Drosophila melanogaster: one gene and its partners. The protein of the gene in region 2 interacts with the protein of the main gene of each other region in a pairwise test. Each region holds a gene or a part of one and is shown on either strand. Other genes may lie near its edges.

Region 1 (5,122 bases), on a different chromosome or scaffold from region 2:
ACGGTCTTTCGAAAGTATATGCCACAAGTCTATTTGTGGTATTTAAAACCGTGGTATTTTTAGTTTAGTATGCTTTCTGCCATATCACGTCTTACAAGAAAATACGATGGAATTCGGGCTCATCCACTCCGCACAATGGGCATACCCTGCCAGTGTCGACAGCTCTCTTAATGCACGCTTTGCAGAAAACGTGGCCACAATTGGTGGACACTGGTAGCTTCTCGCGGACATCTTCCAGGCACACAGGGCAGTTGTAGGGCAAGACAGATTTCTTGGACTCCTCGTCATCTGATTTGATCCGTTTGTTGGGAGGAGAATCCTCGTTTGAATCTGAGGATTCTGTATGTCCCATTGGTGTTGATGATTCGGTGGAGCTCATACTGCTATCGAAGCTAATGCTGGTCGATGAGCTTTCACTATCACTGGAACTAGACGACTCTGAGTCGCTGGAATACTCCAACTGCACAACAAAGTTAAAGCTATTAAAACCTATGGATTCCGGATCGAGATGAACGAACAAGAACTTACCAGGAATGGGGTTCTGTCGATAGATCTGCTGCTGCTTGAGGAGTCCGAGTCTCCGTAATACTCATTTGGATTCCGCTCCTATTAAATGATGTTGTAATGTAACCAATGGATTCTGGGTGGGACCTGGCTAGAACAATAACTTACAGAGGAACCGCTGAGTAAGCGGGATCTTAATCCGGAGGGCGCGAGTACGGGAGTGGGCCCGGTGTTATGGATTCGCTGTGATACTCCAGAATTATTCGAGGTCCTGAAGTTTTCCATTTGAAGTCCCACCTATTCCATAAAGTGTATTATCAATAGATTTCAGAGCTGGGTGAACATGAACTTACCAGGTAACTGAGGCGAGAGCTCAAATGTGAACGGTTTCTGGAAAAGGGTAAGGAAATAACCCTAGTGTTCTGCTCCCATTCAGTAGAAGAGTCTGAGTCGCTGGAATCACCCATTTGAAATCGCACCTGTTTTTGCAGTTTTAATACTACCAATGAATTCTGCCTTGGAACTTACAACTTTTTACAAATTCAGTTGAACCCGTTTCCTTGCTTTTTATTTGCAAATTTACAAGAAAGCTGTTTGAACATATGTCAAAAAATCTTGAAAGTTCCAGGACACAATACCAGTATTTTAAGTGCCAAAGGTCACACTGCGATAAAAAGTACCATTTCAACGCGCCAACAATCATTGTCCGATTTCCATGATTTCCAAATTGGATATTTGCTTAGGATTGTCACCCTAAGAAGTACTATTTATACCAGGTACTCGTGGAGTAAAAGGGTACACTAGATTCGTTGAAACAAATAGAAGGAATTTCCATTTAATTAAGATACAAAACCGAGTAGATCTGGCTATGTTCGCCTGTCTTGCCGGCCGTATGAAAGAATCATAGGAACTATAAAAGCAAGAAGGTTGTGATTAAGCGGACAGATTCTAGAGACATAGACGCAGCACAGATTTTTTGGCCCTGTTGCCACGCCCACTCTAACGACAAACCGCCCAAATCAAATTTGTTTATAATTTTATTAGTCTTGTTAATTCTTATCGATTAGACACAAAACTTTTTGCCATGCCCACTCTAACGCCCAGACTTTAGAACAATTTTTAAATGTTTTCACATTCATCGATATCCCAGAAAAATGATCGAATTTCGCGTTCGTATTCCCACTAGCTGAGTAAGGGGCATCTAAAAGTTAGGGAACTCGACTATAGCATTCTCTCATGTTTGTATCTTAAATGGTTAACATAAAATTAAAAAATATGCTAACAGAAGTAACTCCCTACAACGAAAGAAATTCAAAGATCGAAAGTCCGGACTCAACAACATAGAATTCCCGAAGTCACACACGAACTTGCAACATGTTGCAAGTGCCGCTCGGACTGTCTCGAGCCGTTGGAAGCTCCAGCCGCGTTCTCGACTTCCGATTTAACTTTCAGCGCGCTTTCGGCCGACTTCAGTGTACGTTTGGCTCGCGCAGAGTGCGGATTGCAGTTCGATTCGGCTTAATCAGCCCAGTGATTTTAGCGTATTTCATCCGTAGGATTGCTCTGCCGCAGATCTGGCCGATAAGACTTGGCAACACATCAGGACCCAATCCTGGAGGCCCTAACCGTAATTAAATTATCGGGCGAGTTAATTGGCAGCCCGAGAGTTGCGAAAGTCGTAATGACGGTGCCATTCATCTGGCATTTAGCTTGATTCCCGTTCGCCGATCGCTTTGCCGTGCTAAAGTCTGTAATATTTGGTTAGTGCGGGTTGCCAAAAAGTTAAACAGAACAGAAAGTACGGTTCATTTGCTAAATACACGGGACCATTCAAATATCCCGACACAATTTAAGAGTGTGTGTGGGCGTGTGTTTGTGTATGTGCGCTCAGTGAGTGAGATGTGTGGCAAGTTTCATTTATTGGCAGCCAGCAACTGATTTGAATATTCACTCGCACACTCATACCCGAAAGGATCTGCGCTGCCAAAATACTAGACCAGATTGTGGCTCCTGTGTCGCCCGTGCATAAGTGTGTGTGCAGTATGATTTATAGGTCCTGCAGCAGGCGTGATGTAAAGTGACAATTTCTGGTAATTTTCGATTTACATGCCGTTGTGCATTGGGTAAGTTTGACGAAGGATCCCTGGATTTTGTTTACTTTGTTTTTATAACATTACCTGGAATTAATTTTATGCGTAATTTATTGCTGCGAAAAAGAGAAGAAAGAGGTCAAACCTGATTCAGTACCTTCCATAATAATAACTTTATAATATATCATTTGATAATAAATTTCAAACTGTTATTTTTGGGAAGAAAAGGGTTGGATGGGGCAGACTTATTATATTTATTTTTAAATTTCCACGTGTCATGTTAAAAAACTATGGATGGAAAACCATATTTATTTGCTCAAAATGAATAAATTTACCTTATCTTATCCTTGTCTATTTTTTTTTTGTATTTAATTTCCATATTTAAAGTTATAAAAATATGATCTAAATGTTAATAAATATGAATTTACATGATTCTATACAGTTCTACCAAAGTACAACTACCAAAAGCATTTTATAAATCGATTGAAAAACGTTCCCATTGGCCACGCATATTGTTGTTTATCTTTATATTTCCAAGGCACACGAGTAGTTACCTCTGAGCTAAGATTGATTTACACCTGCTCGGATGTCTTGCCAATCAGAAACCGCAAGACAAACACTACCTGCGCACTCGCGAACATATCAGATCGCGTATACTTCCGCTCTTAGAGGGTTTCGCTTAAAACGGTTTCCGCGAAAAAATTAACTTTCCTAGAATCTGAAAATACGTCCCTGAATAGCTGAGTAGAATAAATCAATGAGTAATTACAGAAGTGTTATTGATTTTGGGCTCCTTTCTCTCGAGCATAAATTAGAGCCAATAAATATCGCGACATTAGGGAAATTTTATCGGTTTCGGATGGCCGAAGATTATATTAATGGGTGCCATTAATATTTAATCCTCGACAACAGGTTTCACCAGCGTTAAGGACACAGAGAACGCCAAAGAAATAAAACCATCCATCCCATTATTTGGCAGAAGGAGAATTGGAAACTTTTGCAAACAGCACCTGTGTCTAAGGAATTTTTAATAAAATCTCCTGAAAAAGTGGTAAACTCAACAAAGCCATTCGTCATGCTCAAGTAACTTGGGTTTTAGACTTTTGGGGTTTTTCCCTTTCGCATGCTTTTTCTTGCTGGTCAGCGAACCAGTTTGGCATCATAATTATGCAACCAGGCATGCAGCTGAGGACACTGTCGGCTGCCAAAGGGTTGAAAGGAACCCTTTCTTTCTTTATACATTTAAATTTGGGTCACTTACGGCCGAAGCAAATTGTAATTAAAATATGAATTTTCCATGCAGCCATATAACAATTCACTTTTAATTTTAATCATTAAATCCCAAAAAAAAAAAAAAAACACTTTTATTTTGAACAAAGCGCAACTCTTTTTTCACTTTTGCGACGGCCTTGACGGACTTAAAGAGTCCTGACTGTGGAAAATAATCATCATCAGCCGCAGGATTTCAAACCACCATCATTATCGTCTGCTGGTCTGGTTTGCATAATTTCATACATAAACTGTCGCTTTTTGTGCGCATAATCTGCAGCTTTTAAACAAAAAAAAAAAAAAAATAGGCAAAAAATATTAAATAAAACGCAGTGTCGGCGGAAAGGTGTCATATACTCCAAAAATTGGGTGTTCTAAATGTTCGAGAAATGAAGCGCTGAAAAGTTGGTCGCGTTACGCATCCGCCATGTTGCGCGGCGCCAAGTGGTGAGGATTACGCCGGGGTTCCCATATACTTAATGACATGCAGCTGCTGTTTTACTTGCGGTTTCTCCCTGGAGCCCCCAGGAACCTTTAGTAAATTTTGCTGTCTTGTCCCCCTCCGGACTAACTTATGAATTTTAAGGTGATTTCCATGTCGCAGGACCAAGTTCAGGAAACTTTGGATTGGGGGTCCTTTGGGAATATGGGATGAGTGCCACGTCACATCGGGGACTTGTCAGCAAAGGGTTGATCGCATCATAAATCAAACGAACTGTTAGCCCAGTTCGCAATCAAAATCATTCTGCGGTCTGCAGCATTTGTTCCTCAGAATGTGGTAATTAATCATCGAAAGTAATTGGTTTTCTGTTTTGATTTGACATTTGAAAAATTGCAGCTGTGACAATTCAATCCCAGTTCCAGTTTATTTGCCTAGCGCCATTTACTTCGCTGGTTTTTCAGTGCAAAATGCTGCAAAATAAACGCAAAAGTTTATTATACTTTGGTTTTTGCCGAAGTGAAATGGTGACCTATGCAAATTTATGAATGCAAATTAAATATAAACGAACGCATAAATGCGGCTTAAAAATATTGCCACGCAATATTGGCAAACAATGGGATTAACTGGACAAAAAATGGTAGGGAGTGTCCTTGAAGTCCATGTTTTTTAGCACGGGTATTCATAGGCTAAATTGCCAATATGGCCGCAACTCTGGCTTTAACGGAATTATGTCGCTAATTTAATGATGGCAAATGTATTGTTTTGTCGTTGGCCCCACTGAGATTGGTTTATGGGCGCAACCGTTTATACAACTTTG
Region 2 (4,881 bases):
TGATGATAGTCAGATGTTAGAATTATAGAGAAGGACCGATTATTATTAAGCTTATACTGAACAATCGATATATTGATAGGCTTATACAAATGCGCTAAAATTTAAAATTCGAAAATTTAATAAAAATAAATAATAATTTATATACGTATAATCGAAGACTTTTTTATAGTGTCTGAACTTAATTTGTATATTCTTAAAAATAACTTTACCTTTCATTATTATAGTTTACTAACTTTCAATTAGTTTAATTGGTTTTCCTACATGAAATTAATGTTGTTTGTAGTACAATTCACCTGTTATTAAAGTGATCAATTATTATAGGGCAAAGGAAAACAATTTGTAGCGAAAGCCAACAGCAATTTATGTTAAAATCTCATTTCATCAACCGCCACTAATGAGTCAGTCGCAGAAATAAACTAAATTGTTGTAATGTCCTAACAAACTTATGTTTTTGCGCATTGATGCGGCGTGGGAACGAACGAAGTGACATCCAACACTAAATTTATCTGGCTCGTGTTCAAATCAAATTAAATTCTCGGCATTAAATGCCACATTTATCTACATGAGCACATTGTTTGATTGGCACGCCAGCTGCTCTGCCCCTGTTTCTTCTCTGATTGTGATGTTCTACTTAAACGATTCAATTGTTTCTTCGACCATTCCGTTTATTTACCATCAGGTACCAGACTCGCCAAGGGATTGGTACTATCTCCTGATAGTTGGTACTTGGCGTCGGCTAGTGGTAAGTTCTCCCCCAAGTACCGGGTTTCTTGATAGAATTGCCAACTGTTTTCCAAGCCAAGTGCCATGGTCACGTCTAGTGACCAATAACTCTGCTGGCCAGCAGTTGGGCCCTATGGAGAATGTGAATCAACCAGGTTAGATATTATATCTAATATATATTTCAGTGTTATTAGAAGTAGAGTCAAACCGTCTGTTTTTACGCGGAGAATATTTATATAAAAAAAACCATAAAAACTTAAAAAGATATTGTAAGTTAGAAATATTTTTAAAGTATCTTTAAGTTTACAATATATCTTAAAGTTTAAAGTTTACACTTTAAATTAGGTGGAAATATCCTACAAATTATACTTTACGTATTTCATATACTTTGAAATTTATTTAAGTTTAATTTTGGCATAGAATTTAGCCAATCGGATGATCAATATCGATTTAATTTATCCTCGGCACGCCATTTTCGACCTTTCTGGCTGTCAAAATGCATTTTCTCCTCGCGTTACTTAAGATGCTCCCCATTAATTTCCCACAGCCGTTTCTCTGATCTCTGACCAAGTGCGTTTGTCTCCGCCGGCGCACAAGTATTTTGTGCAAATTAAACAAAAATTGAACATAACATAAATATCCGATGCAGAACAAAACGAAGGCAGGTGAAGCGGTGAGATTTATTTTTAACTGCCCAATGCGCCTACATATAGCAAATTATGCAAAAGAATCTCGCGCTGCAGCCGAGTGCAATTTCGTTTTCGTTTTCATCTGCCAGAGATGCCAGCGTCTGCGCCGCTCTCTTGAGTCATTGCACTGCGAGAAAATACGCGTAAGTTATTGAAACTTTTTTGGGTAAGGAAAGATCATCAATTTGATATTGCATTTTTTTTAAAGTATATTTGTTAATTGAAAATAAGATAAATATGACACGCTGTTTAATTAAACTTTTCTTAAACCATCAAATCATATTAAAAAACCGTATGAATTCTGAAATTATCACTGCAAAATGAATAAATATTCTACTTCAAATTTTGCTAGCCTGTACAAACTTAGAAAAAACTCGTAGCAGATCTACGGTTATCTAAGTTATTGAAAGTATATAATTTTTCGCTGTGCGGCTGATGTTTTGGTCCCATTGGGGGTGGGCGCTACGTCATCACATCAGACCCACAGCTGCGCCACAACGATGACGAAGGAACGAAGGCAACAACACCGAGCCAGCGAGGCAGCGACTCAGCAGCAGAGAAGCAGCAAAAGCAGCAAAAGCAGCAGAGAAGCAGCAAAAGCAAGTAAAATCCACATGCCACCGGACGGCTGGCTCAAATGTTCATGAAACGCGAACGCGTGTGGACGTGGATGTGCGCGGTACCGCTTCGAAAAAAAAATTTGTGAACGCGAATCGGTATATTCGGTTTGGTCGGATTAAACGGTTGATTCGAAACGAATTCTCGGGCCGTGCATGTGTGAAAGTGAAAACTGAAGAAAGAGGAATGAAAATGAGCACGGTGCATGAGTTTCCTTGACGTTCGTTGCTTCGGAAAATCCATCGCAAGAAAACTGAAAAGAGCGTGCGAAAGCAGAAAGGCCAATTGTGAGTGAGAGCTGAAAAGCACACACGCCAAAAATATAATGTTGAAAATATCTGGCTATTTTTGGAATATATATTTGTTTCTTCCACACGATGCATTGAAAAATTTGTACCTCAAGTGAAGCAATACACAAAAAACCTCGAGAAATGATAATGCTTAAAAAATACGAGATATACGCTTTAACTTGACTTGCATTTTATTTTCGAAAAGCTTTCGAAAGCAAAACAAAGCCATCAGAAAAATAAGAGTACGAAAAAAAGAAGAACGAAATGAATCCAAGGCAAAAGAACAGCCAGAGTGAAATGTTTTTAATGGGCAATCAAAAATAATGAAATCGGGTAGATATATCTGGCAGAACGAGGCAAGAACGCATTTAAGATGAACAATGGAGATACATTTAATGAAATTTAAGGGACTCAATGAGGGATTGAATTCAGATCTATAGCTAAAACATTTCCGGAAATACCCATTGCTCAACTTTGGATACACAAAATATTCCCTTCAGATTCGGAATAGTTTCCTTCTAGGTGCACAGCTGAAAATGAAATATAGTTCTGTTTACATTCTTAAACTAAACTTTAAAGCTATGCAAACTCGTAATGGAAATGTGCTTTGAAATCCCGCCGCTTGAAACCACATCAATATAGCGATATATTTTTTTCTGTGTAACTACATTTTCGTCTTTTCTGTCTGATTTCCTCCGAAAGAACAACAAATACAGGCCACACTATGCATATATCCGCTGTGTTCTTGTTGTGCTGCCTTTATATTTTGTATTTGAATTTGTAGTCTTGTGTCATGCGATAGGTGGTAACGTTTCGTTCCGAACGGGGTATTGAATTACAAGACACCAAAGTGCGCGCCAAGCGAACACGCTCGCTCACAGATACTCACACACACGCACACACACGATAAACACACATGCAGAGCGAGGTGTATAAATATATCGCAGTCCGATTCTGCCGCATGCGTATCCAATGGATGCGAATCGGCCTGCAAAGCGGAGGGCACAAGGAAATATCCGAAAAAGAACTATGAATCGCTGTAATTAATTGTTTTGGGGGCAGAGCAGTTGGATCCATTGATTGATGGAGCCAAAGTTCATTTGTTTACAGTGGCAAGATCAATGACTCGGCGCCCTATTAATATGTACATCCCCCTCAAAAAAAAAAAAAGAAAACCAAAAAAGTATCTGGCTGGCTCCACTCTGACCCCTGGTCTCTCTTGTGTTCCAGTTTCACCCGAAAGTTATATACCGCATCCAGTTGAAATGTCCGCCAAGACGTCGCCATCGTCCACTTCTCGGGATGCCAACGTGGGATCCTCGAGTGCGATTCCCGTTCAGATCAAAAAAGAACTGCCCAGCGATGAGATAAAGGTGAGTGAATGTATGAATGAACACTTTGAGATACTTTCTTGCCGTCTAATTAATTGCCCCTGTCTGCGCATTATTTCGCCGCGTATTCAATAACAAGGATGCTGACAAAGTTTGCGTTGGATTTAAAAATAAGAACGTTCTTCTTTGCTCTTGGCAAAACATTTGGCTTCTATAGCTGCGAGCTGCATATACGCAGAATAATTATTATTTGTTTGTTTCCGAGTGTTTGGATGGGGGAAAGGTGAATAACACCCACTCGCCAGTTGCGCGTCTATATCTTGGAGTCTATATCTTAGAGTGGCTTTGAAGTGGATCTCGTATCTCGTAGTTGCCATGGAAATATCTATAAAAATGTGTGCTCATGATATACGTAACTACCTTTGCCGCAGAACACATATTTCCATTTCATCCTTAGCGAACGCAAAAATATTTAGTAAACTGCATGTTGCTCATACATAGTTTCCACTTACAAGCTCGAATCCAGCGATTCCAGCCAAAGAGCACTTCCAACTAAGCGCTGAAATCAAAGAATCCGACTCCAAATCCCTCGGCCAGAGAACCAAAAATCGTTTCGGCTTTCAGTTCAGCGCAGTTCAGTGCAGTTCAGTTCGTCTCAGTTGACTGTTGGGCTATTTGGAAATGTTTATGCAAGAGCCAATGATAATGCAACGCCCCGCTACCGCCCCCGCTCAAAAGTGCTACATTAAATTCCATGCAACTTTGTATCTGAATCCGCGTCCGGAATTTGAAAGAGGAGTTGCTAGCGGTCGCTGCAGCTGAGGAGACTCGGATTCAGATTCAGATTCGGATTCGGATTCCGATTGCCATTGTGATTACGCGATTACGGGACGAGCTCGTAAGTCGAGCGGGAGTTGGCGGTAATTTTATATTGATAAGTTTTTATAATCATTTTAACGAGTGAGCGGGTCCGATTCCGATTCGGAATCCATCCGCTCCTCTCTGTCCGCAGTCCCTTACGCTTCTGCTCCATCCGGCAAATGAGCGAAATTAATTTAATGCCACAGACAGGGACAGAGAGTCGCAGAGCAACATTTTTGCAGCACGTGTAACCCGATCGGCGAATGGAAATCATACCCCCCGACTTGCAGTTGGGCGCAATGATACTTATTGTCGGTCATGAGGGGGGAGGGAAACCAACAGCAAACACAAAAACAAAGCCGAGCCAAA
Region 3 (3,318 bases), 1.6 Mb from region 2:
TTGTACAAACCTAGATAAGCGAAGCCCAATTATGGACGGCTGCTAATGTTATCTCATGCCGTGCATGCTAGGACAGTGAGTATCCTGCGATGATGTCACATAAAGCCGACAAGGATGATCTAACGTGGTCTATTTCTCGCAAGGCGGCTGAGTGAAATGTCAATTCAATTTACCATCAAGGATGATTGAATTTCCCGTCCCTTTAGCCGACCAACTTCTCCGCGTGTGAGGTATCTTAATTTGCTTTGGCAATCAAGCTAAACGGTTTATTGAACGATCTTATCTTCGCAACGAGTTGAAAATGCTTTTAGACAATATAATGGCAAACAGAGAACATCCTAATTTATTGGTTCAACGCCCCATTTTGTATATACTTTTATGACACTAGATTTTGGGCGTTTGCGGAATCAAGTGTCAGGATGGCCGAGCGGTCTAAGGCGCCAGACTCAAGATTGAAAATCTTACTTTCTGAACGAAAGTGTTTGTGAATGAGCGTTCTGGTCCTCTTTGAGGGCGTGGGTTCGAATCCCACTTCTGACAAATATTTTTTTAAGCCCACAGAAATTAGCAATGATTTGACAAACAATGCAAAATTAATAAATAATCAAATATATATTTGCGTATACTTTTGAAAGATCTCTCTTTTGGGTTCACCTATATAAATACGTGACCAATAAATAAAATGGTAACAAATACATTTGCCATTGTATTAAATTAATATATAAATTCGTGACATATTTTTAGCAGGAAAACGAAAAACGAAAAACGAAAACTATCGTAGTAGCATTGAAACATATAGTGTCAAATTTAGTTCTTATCAATCCCTGAATCCAGATTTCAGTCAGGTTAAAAAAGTTGTATATTTTTATATCAATATAAGCCATGTCGGAAGAGCAGCCATCGAGCTCGTTGCTCAAGCCCATTCTAATCATGAAGGATATCGAATTGGACGGAGCAGGTGATGGCATCGGTAAGGAGTCCTCGAAGACAAAGAAGCATGTAACCTTCAACCGGATGGTGGAGTATTATACCTACTCGGAAACTTTGACCAGCTGGAAGAGGCGCCTTATGTCCGACAACGACTTGGTAGGTACTGAAACACCACAGACATGAATTCCCCATTGATACGGTCTGTGGGCTTTTCAGCGCCAGAGCATGCCGACCGAGTCGAAAACTTGCTTTACAAAGCACTAGGCCAATTTATGACTCCGGCCCACCCACATTGCCCATATTGAAGAACCAATACTGAACAGGAACGAAACGCTGGCGGAAGTTGTTAAACTGAACGTGACACTTTTAACCTAATTGGCAAATAAACGAGAGCCCGAGTCCTGCCAGCGAAGCGGATGTGGACTTGTCCGTTGTTTTTAATGCATTTTCCGTGTCCTGCGATGGGGAACGAAGTCGAGCAAATGACCAATGAGTTATTCATGATTTGTACCTACATTTCTATATTTTTTGTTCGTATATTAAAAGCATAAGCTAGTGCAGAGTGGTTACGTCTATTTTGGCCTTCATGCTCATTCAAAGCACGTAAGTGGTCATGCAATTTACAACGCTTTTTGCGCACCGAACGGAAGAAGTAATCTGTATTTGAAATATTTACAATTGGTAAGGCCCAGTCAATAGCTGGAGAGAACAGAGAATGGATTATAGCCAGATTAAGACGTCAAAACAAGCATTCCTACGATAAGTCTAAGCCCAGCAACTGACCTATCCCACCTATCTCACGGCTAACTAATCAATAACCAGTCGGTAATTAAAAGCACCCATATTCTCCTGCCAGCACCTGGAGACAATTGCCGGATGATGGGCCTTTTGGGTAATCAGCGATTGATACGAATGAAATATGGCCGTGTCATTTGACAACCTTATCCGCACGCGGGCAATGCCCAATCTGTGGCTATAAAAGGCCACCCATCGCAGTTAGTTAGCCATCCAAGGTTGAACCGCAAACATGTCCCTACTAATAGCAACTTTCTTAGCCCTGCTGGCCCTCACGAATGGCGCAGTCATTCCCATTGGCCTGGAACCACAAACATCATCGCTAGGTGGCCGGATTGTTGGAGGCACAGCCTCTTCCATTGAGGATCGTCCCTGGCAGGTTTCTCTGCAGCGTTCCGGAAGTCATTTCTGCGGTGGATCCATCATCAGCAACAACATCATCGTGACCGCCGCCCATTGCCTGGACACTCCGACCACGGTCTCCAATCTCCGGATAAGGGCTGGCTCCAATAAGCGAACCTATGGTGGCGTTCTCGTCGAGGTGGCTGCCATCAAGGCACATGAGGCATACAACTCCAACAGCAAGATTAACGACATTGGAGTGGTGCGTCTGAAGACTAAGCTGACCTTTGGCTCGACCATCAAGGCCATTACGATGGCCAGTGCGACGCCGGCTCACGGATCAGCAGCTAGCATCTCAGGCTGGGGCAAGACCTCCACCGATGGCCCCTCGTCAGCGACGCTGCTCTTTGTGGACACGAGAATTGTGGGCCGTTCGCAGTGTGGCAGTTCCACTTACGGATATGGTTCCTTCATCAAAGCAACCATGATCTGTGCAGCGGCGACGAACAAGGATGCATGCCAGGGTGATTCTGGTGGACCTCTGGTATCCGGAGGCCAACTGGTGGGCGTCGTCTCCTGGGGACGAGATTGCGCCGTCGCCAATTATCCCGGCGTGTATGCCAACATTGCCGAACTGAGAGATTGGGTCCTTCAGGCCCAGAAGACTGTCTAGCTTTAGTTAAGCACAATAAAATCGCACTCATAGTACGTATAGTTAAACTGCAGCTGGCAGGGCTTTTATTTCAACTGCTGCTTCCGCTCATTTACTGCTCAACAGCAGTGACTTCTGAATCCAGTCCCCAGAGCCATACATGCGGCAGCAGGACGTGCCCTTCCTGTGGGCCACGCCGCTCGTTTGGCTCATGCAATCTGGGTCAGTCCACAGGGGTTGGCTGCCGGGTGGGGCCTTCAATTCTGGCGGGGCACAGGGGCGGCAAGCCCATGGTAAGCCAGTTACAGCGTTTGCATACTAAAGTCGGGTGACATATCTGTGACATGGCTGCGAATGACATGTAAAATCTCTGTCTATTCCATTTACACGCTTTTGTATTACTAAAAATTAAAGTTATGTATGCCATTTATTTAAATATTCAAATTTTTTTAGTTCATTTGCTGGAACATTTTTTTTTTGCTAATGGTTTAACTTCCTCACTGATAGTTTAGTTTGAAATTCCTTTGAGTTCCCGTTTATGCACTGCATGTGCACTTAAAATTTGCTATCTCTATTGTTTCTAATCGGTTTAAGCGTTT

What was found.
Region 1: the proteins of Sobp (region 2) and rdo interact in a two-hybrid assay, tested with the Drosophila melanogaster proteins (one large-scale study listed by BioGRID).
Region 3: the proteins of Sobp (region 2) and Ser8 interact in a two-hybrid assay, tested with the Drosophila melanogaster proteins (one large-scale study listed by BioGRID).

The regions. Positions count from the first base shown.
Region 1 is NT_033779.5:18,010,406-18,015,527, forward strand, and holds the start of rdo (reduced ocelli), read left to right. Parts: upstream 1-1,974; 5' UTR 1,975-2,627; intron 2,628-5,122. Other genes in the region: elfless, read right to left, coding at 92-460, 529-606, 673-801, 858-971.
Region 2 is NT_033778.4:11,836,708-11,841,588, reverse strand, and holds the start of Sobp (sine oculis-binding protein), read left to right. Parts: upstream 1-1,763; 5' UTR 1,764-2,235; coding exon 2,236-2,317; intron 2,318-3,550; coding exon 3,551-3,693; intron 3,694-4,881.
Region 3 is NT_033778.4:13,432,255-13,435,572, forward strand, and holds Ser8 (Ser8), read left to right. Parts: upstream 1-1,952; 5' UTR 1,953-1,957; coding exon 1,958-2,740; 3' UTR 2,741-2,791; downstream 2,792-3,318. Other genes in the region: CG30065 (uncharacterized protein), read left to right, coding at 883-1,086, 1,147-1,194.